Ovis aries: one gene and its partner. The protein of the gene in region 1 purifies or fractionates together with the protein of each later gene. This does not show direct contact. Links are inferred from orthologs where the notes say so. Each region holds a gene or a part of one and is shown in the gene's direction. Other genes may lie near its edges. The genes, in order: RAB27B and SYTL4.

Region 1 (3,824 bases):
TTCCAGGATACTGTTGGAATTTAAGATAATTAATTGCCATTTCTAATAAGGCTTTAATTTCTAATATCCAAATAACCGGTGTTACAGAGTCAGTTCCTCCTCTGGCCTCAACAAGGTTGCACTCAGCATGCCTTGAGGTAGACAGTAAAATAGTCCCATAACCTTGAAAATATCATTTCATTCCTTCCTCCCTCCCTTCCTTCTCCTCCCCACCACCTTCTTTTGGAAAATAGAGAAAAACAAATAACCTGTCCTAATATTGTTTCTACATGAATTTCTGGTGGTTCAGAAACGCTCTGCCCTTATGAATCATTACCTTGGCTTTCAGGAAAGAAAAATGTAGCAGCCTCCTGAAGGAAAGAGCAGACAGCCCCTATACTTGAAGGGGCTTCCTGGGTGCCATTAGTGGCGAAGAAACCGCCTGCAGGAGACATAGGAGACACGGGTGTCCAACCCCTGGGAGGGGGGCAAGATCCCCTAAAGAAGAGGTGGCAGCCCACTCCAGTCTTCTTGCCTGGAGAATCCCATGGACAGAGGAGCCTGGCAGGCTACAGTCCAGAGGGTCGCAGAGAGTCAGACACGACTGAAGTGGCTTAGCACACACACACATATACTTTAAGACCATGTTTCCTTATCTTCACTTATATTTGAAGAATAAATGCACTGAAAAGCAGTATATTCAACTCAGGTGAACATTCCCGGATGTTCATTTCCACGGGGTGTAGTAAGAATCCTCCTGCCAATGCAGGAGACATAGGAGACACAGGTTCAATCCCTGGGATGAGACGATCCCCTGGAGAAGGAAGTGGCACCCTGCTCCAGTATGCTTGCCTGGAGAATCCCATGGACAGAGGAGCCTGGCAGGCTATAGTCCGTGGGGTCTCGAAGGGTTGGACATGGCTGAGCACACATCACCTCATCTGTGATGGCTGAGCACACATCACCTCATCTGTGATGGCTGATCACACTGCACCTCATCTGTGCTCATCTCAGAGGACATTTCCCCAGATGCAGAAGCTCACGGACAGGTATTCACACAGGTGCTTTATATACACTCTTACTAGTCTTCACAGCCTGCCACCTGTGAGGCAGTATCTCCACTTTCTAGATGAGGAAACTGTGGCTGGGAAGAGTTAAGCACCTGGGCTAATTTAACTCGTAAACAGTCAAGCTGGAGGTGAACAATTCAATTAGGACCCTGAAGTATGAGCAGTCTTTTGACATCACTTGTTTATAACTAACTTGCTGGTTCCATCTGTTTTCTTTCCAAGGCCAACTGCAAGCAAATGCTTATTGTGAAAACCCAGATATAGTATTAATTGGCAACAAGGCGGACCTGCCAGACCAGAGGGAAGTCAATGAACGGCAAGCCCGGGACCTGGCTGAAAAATACAGGTAAGTCAGCTATGTGGAAATATCCTCTGACCTCACACACTGCTGCTTAGTTAGGGGGCAAGGTCATGAGACTGATATTCGGAGGGATCCCCTTGATTAAGGAGTGACAGATGAATGAAAAAGATCTCCCAGAGGAATATATGTGATGCTTTTAATGAAACTATTCAACATTAATAACCACTCACATTTACTGAATGCTTATTGTGTGTTAGCAACTATTCCTAGACTTTAATTTATCTAACCCTTGTAATTATATATATGAGATTTAGGGCTATTCCATTTGATATATGAGGAATTGAGACACAGAGAAGCTGAGTAACTTATGGAAGGCCACATAGCTGGTGAGTAGTAGAGCTTGAATTCAATCCAGGCTGTCTGAAATCAGAGCCCATTCTTTTGAATATTGTATTCTACAGCCTCTCAGTAGCTACAAAACTCTAAGGAATAATACCTGACCTGGATGTAATACTGCAATTTTTATCCTGAAAGTGAAAGTGTGAGTCACTCAGTCTTATCTGACTCTTTGCGACCCCATGAACTGTGGCCTGCCAGACTCCTTTGTCCATGGAATTCTCCAGGCAAGAATACTGGAGTGGGTTGCCATTCCCCTCTCCAGGAGGTCTTTCTGACCCAGGGATTGAACCTAGGTCTCATGCATTGCAGGCAGATTCTTTACCATTTGAGCCACCAGGGAAGCCCAATTATTATTATCCTAGCTAGCTTAAATGTCAGAGTAAAAAACGTTTTTAAACACCCCAAGTAGTTAGAAACTGACTCCCAAGGCAGAAATTGTCATTCTTTTTCAAATTTAAGTACTTTGCCAAATGTGACAGTTCTGTACCTCCTTGAGAGTTTTACAAATAAATGTACATGTCTTCTTGAAACTTTGGATTCTAAATAAATGTAGATTGTATTCACATGAATATCCTATGCAATGCCTGCCTAATTTCTAAATCAGACTTCTTGATAATTGATTGGAGAGAAGTAATTGTTTAATAGGCTTCCCTGGTGGCTCAGATGGTAAAGAACCTGCCCTGCAATGTGGGAGACCTGGGTTCGATCCCTGGGTCAGGAAATCCCCTGGAGAAGGGAATGGCAACCCACTCCAGTATTCTTGCCTGGAGAATCCCAGACAGAGGAGGCTGGTGGGTTATAGTTCATGGGGTTGCAAAGAGTCAGACACGACTGAGGGACTAACACACTAATAGTTTAATGGCAACATTGATCACTAGTCTGGCATATTTGCCCTCTTCATTTTTAAAAAGTCAGTGGTGAGGCTTGGCTTCAAGTACCTGAGCACCTCTTATAGCAGTTTCCTTGCCTGTAATGCTGGTTACACCCACATGAAAAAGCAACTCACCAGTTTTCACTCACTGAGCAAAACCAAGGATGTTTTCCAACTCAGCCAGCAAAATCGTGATTATTTCACAATCTCTCAGCCAGCCGTGTTTTCGCACGTGTGACTCACTGGCACATCTTGTTGTATCTTTTCTGGTTCCTTCCTTGCAAAAATATTTGTCATCTCTTCCATGCTAGCATACCATATTTTGAAACAAGTGCAGCGACTGGCCAGGATGTGGAAAAAGCTGTGGAAACCCTGCTGGACTTAATAATGAAACGGATGGAGCAGTGTGTAGAGAAGACCCACATCCCCGACACGGTCAATGGGAGCAGCTCTGGAAAGCTGGATGGGGAGAAGTCAGCAGAGAAGAAATGTGCCTGTTAGACTTTACCCCAGGCTCTGATCATCCAGAACCCCAGGCAAACGTCACTTCCAAAAAGAGCGACAAACCCCACCATTGTTGTTGAGTAAACCATGTATAACGGCATGTCTTTCTTTTCCTGCCAGAAATTTTAAAAAACCTGACTAGTCAGCAGTGTTCAGAAGAGTTGACCAGTAATCCCTGAAGCCCCTCCAAACAAGATCAAAGATTTCCCAGGGTCATCATACCATCATGGGTACTCAGTTTGTTTTTTCATAAAGAAGATGAACATATAAAAGAGTATAGAAGAACAGATATCAGTGGGTTTTCCATCAGAACCAAAATTACCTTGTCACACTGGGGACAAGAATAGGTTTCTGAAGGGAGAACACAGAAGGATGACTTTTTTTTAAAGGTTGAATTTACTTGTTATATAGAATCTGATTTGGACTTTTAGGTTTGCATTGAGGGGGACATATTAGCTAAAAGTGCATACACAAAAAGAATTCTAAGTGGTTCATTTAGAGTGACATTACTATGTATATCCTATAAGCTGTGCTAGAATGACAACATTGCTGATAAGGTTACGAGAGGATGAATGTCAGACATCTGAGAATATGTAGGAAACTGTGTAATCATGCCATTTGTATATTCTTAATAAATGGCAGATAGACAAGAATAGGACTGTGAATGGCAGAGGACAAGAAAAAGGCCCAGAGAGAGAGA
Region 2 (3,824 bases), on another chromosome or scaffold:
GAGTCAGAAAGCAGGGTGAATAGATGATCACACTCACACACAGGAAGAGAACGGTAGGCTTGCAGAGTTGATTATTAGCTGAGAGGAACGTAGCTTTTCACCTCTGGTGGGGTTTTCCCTCCAAATATGACACAGTCACTTTTCTCTATAGGCCTTTAGAGGGATAAGGTGGAGAAAAGAAAACCACAGATAATTAACGCCCCTTGTTTTAATTGGTAACTGATCCCTTCCAACCAACATGGTAACATACATAGTATACACCAAAATCAGACTCAGCTGCACGCTGCCTCCTTGCCCACCTTCTGGGGCAGTTGAAATTTAACAATAAAAATGTATAAAAAGAGAATAAGCAGAACAGCTCAGAGCCCAGGTGAGCTGATTGATAAACCTGAGCAGTTGTAAGCAGTTGTGAGTGTGCTGTTAGCTGTCTCTTACATTCTGGCTACAAGACCATTGGCAGTACTGGTTAGTTGCAGGGGCTTTTGTTTTGTTTAGTGACTATGACTTTCTCATGAGTGAAAACATGAGCAATGTAGCAGGGAGAGCATGCCTTCACCACATGTTTATGGGTGCTTTATCTTGTTTATTTCTTCCAGTTTTATTGAGATATAACTGATATACAGCACTGTGTAAGGTGTACTGCACAATGATTTGACTTACATACATTTTGAAATGGTTACCACAATAAGTTTGGGAACATCCATCATCTTATATAGATACAAAATTAAAGAAATAGAGTTTTTTTCCTCGTGATGAGAACTCTTAGTATTTGCTCTCTTAACCACTTTAATATATATAACACACAGCAGTGTTAATTATACTGTGTGTGTGTGTGTATCATGTTGTGTATTATATCCCAAGCACTTATTTATCTTATAACTGGGAGTTTGTACCTTTTGACCACTTTCATATAATTCCCCCTCCCCAGACCCCTTGCCTCTTATAACAACAAATCTGCTATCTTTTTCTATGAGTTTTGTTTGTGTTTGAAGTATAATTGACCTATAACACTATGTTAGTTCCTGTTATACAACATAATGATTTTTATAAGTTTACAAATGCTCCCCATGATAAGTCTAGTTACCACCTGTTATGTGGGTGCTTTATCTTCAGAGTACGATTGGCAGCATGATGAGCATCTATAGTGAAGCCGGTGATTTCGGGAACATCTTTGTGACCGGAAAGATTGCCTTTTCTCTGAAGTACGAGCAGCAAACACAGGCTCTGGTCATTCACGTGAAGGAGTGCCAACAGTTGGCCTTTGCTGATGAAGCCAAGAAGCGCTCAAATCCGTGAGTGCTTCTGGACCCTGCACAGTGCTTGGAGATGATCAGACCCCAGCATCTCTCTGGGCACCCTTGAACCAAAGCTCTCACTTCCTGGGCAGACGGGGAGGTGTGATTGAGAGTGGTTAGGGGAGATGTGGGAAAGGGGCCAGGATTAGGAAAATCCAAGAATGGTGTGTAGAGGAGGGCTTGATGTGATATTTTCATTTCATCATGGCATGTGTGTATGGAGGGCAGGGAAGTGAGAAGCAGGTTGCCATAAAGACAGCCAATGACTCAGTATTCTCCTTGGCTTCTAGATATGTGAAGGCTTATCTTCTGCCAGACAAATCCCGCCAAGGAAAAAGAAAAACCAGCATCAAGCAGGACACTATTAATCCGTTATATGATGAGATCCTCAGAGTAAGTATCTAGAGTCTGAGAGGATAGGAGAACTTGTTCTGTCTTGTGTGCTGAGCTGTAGCAATTCCTCTACTATATGGCTGGTCAACATGGTTTTCAGTGGCCATGTCTCTGTTTGAGGATACACTGTGGGCATCTGTTCACATCCTGACCTCTCAGCAAACAAAGCTGATTTGATTTTCTTGGATTCTGGTGAAGTTGGAGGGCCACGTGGTCGCAAATCTCATTTTAAGGGGTCGTTTGGGATCAGGAGTCTCCCTGGCAGTTCTTTTGCATATTCCAGTGTTCTCTCACTCACTGAAGGAAAAATTTATATCCCAGGTCCTCCCCTGGAGTATGGTAGGTTTTTGTGAAATGGGATAAGTAAAGGCTTTGAGGGATGAAGCTCAAAGTGCTTAGGGACTAAAGTGATTCGATCAGGACTATGGACTTTGTGTATGCTTGCTCAGATTTTGGAATAATCTTTTTCTGAGGAATTACTGTGAACTAATCATCTTGGGTATCTCCTTTCCTTTCACAGTATGAAATCCCAGAATCTCTGTTGGCCCAGAGAACTTTGCAATTCTCGGTGTGGCATCATGGTCGTTTTGGCAGAAACACTTTTCTTGGAGAGGCAGAGGTCCAGATGGATTCCTGGAAGCTTGATAAGAAACTGGATCATTGTCTCCCCTTACATGGAAAGGTAGGCTGCTTTAACAACTCCTTACAGAGCTTACATCTGAGGTCGAATTATCTGCAGAGACTTATGCAGGAACAGTTTTGATTGTAGTTTGTGGAACTCTTGCGCCCCCTGCTGGGGCTTCCTAGTTTAACAGTAATTTCAGATGCTCTTGGACGGCAAGTGTCAGTCATCTCTTCTGTTACAAGCCAGGTGAACGATGAAGCCATGGTTCCCCTTTGAAGTCTTTCATATATATGTGTGTCAAGCTTTGCTTCCTAATCTTCCAGAGTCTGGGTGTATCCTAACATCCTGACTTGTGCCTTTTCTCCAAGCTAACCTTTTGGATGTATCCTAATCTGTGCTGGTTTCCCAAACTACCCTTTTCACTACAGAAATGGGAAGTAAACCAATTTATGGAGCTCCACTTCCCGTGCTCATTGTCATACAAGCCAGGGGAAGTATTACTTTGAGATGGAATTGCAGGGGAGAGTGTAGCAGAGGGTGTCATATTACCTGGGATCTGAGTGTGGACCTGGATTTGAATCCAGACACTGTGATTTAACAGCTAGGTAAATTACTTAACTTAAAAACTAACTTAGGTAAGTCACCTAAATTCTGTGGGCCTTAGTTTCTTCATCTATGAAGTGGAAATGATAATAATATTCTCTTCTGCAGGATCGTAGACAGAGTACCAATCAGTGCCTGGCACATAAAAGATGTTCAGTAGGTTATTGTCATTCTGGTTAAGATGAAATTGCTAAAACAGAGTTAGGATTTGCCTCTTTTTTTCTGTTAAAACTATGGTATACTATATCTAGTCCTTCTTTTGTGAGTGTAACTGTAGGAGAAATTTCTGGTGGTGGAATTGCTGAGTCAAAGGAAATGAACATTCAATATTTTGAAGCTATTGCCCTCCAAAAATATAGTAACAACATTAAAAATCTCCCTTTAAGTACTAATACAAATAGGAAAGCCAGTATAATAAAACTATAGCATATTATTAGAAATTTAGAATTTCTTAAGCATTTGGCATATAAGTCATTCTCTCAAGGGCCTACAGTTGATGCAGTTCTAATGGAAATGTCATTGTAAACCATCATGAACTAGTGCCAACAAAGAATGCTTTCCATCAAAAGGAAAACCTGCACTGAAATGGAACTGTTTGCTCTTTGAAATTATTTTGAGCCAGAATGAAAATATGCTCAAAATGAAACAAGTACGCCAATTATGCCAATTTCCAGCTAAGGTGAAGCTCACAATCTAGAGACTAACAAATTGTATAGATATTTTATAAACAACAGAAAGACCACTCCAGTATTGCATACTTATTTTAACTGAAAACATTCTCCATTTTTTGTCTCTGATTTTTCTTTTTTTTCTTGCCCTAGTGATCCGTTTGCTCCCATTCAGTTTTCTCTTCCTGGCATCCACCTCCCTATCCTTCTATGTCTCTTTCATCCATTACACTGCCATGC

The links.
Region 2: the proteins of RAB27B (region 1) and SYTL4 purify together in Homo sapiens (co-immunoprecipitation; 3 studies listed by BioGRID and IntAct, counting the BioPlex papers as one, with this or other methods). This does not show direct contact. The link is inferred for Ovis aries from reciprocal best matches to the Homo sapiens genes RAB27B and SYTL4.

Annotation. Positions count from the first base shown.
Region 1 is NC_056076.1:54,601,741-54,605,564, forward strand, and holds part of RAB27B (ras-related protein Rab-27B), read left to right. Parts: intron 1-1,271; coding exon 1,272-1,395; intron 1,396-2,931; coding exon 2,932-3,121; 3' UTR 3,122-3,824. UniProt on the Homo sapiens protein: Small GTPase which cycles between active GTP-bound and inactive GDP-bound states. In its active state, binds to a variety of effector proteins to regulate homeostasis of late endocytic pathway, including endosomal positioning, maturation and secretion.
Region 2 is NC_056080.1:132,467,875-132,471,698, reverse strand, and holds part of SYTL4 (synaptotagmin-like protein 4), read left to right. Parts: intron 1-1,113; coding exon 1,114-1,292; intron 1,293-1,585; coding exon 1,586-1,688; intron 1,689-2,208; coding exon 2,209-2,370; intron 2,371-3,824. UniProt on the Homo sapiens protein: Modulates exocytosis of dense-core granules and secretion of hormones in the pancreas and the pituitary. Interacts with vesicles containing negatively charged phospholipids in a Ca(2+)-independent manner.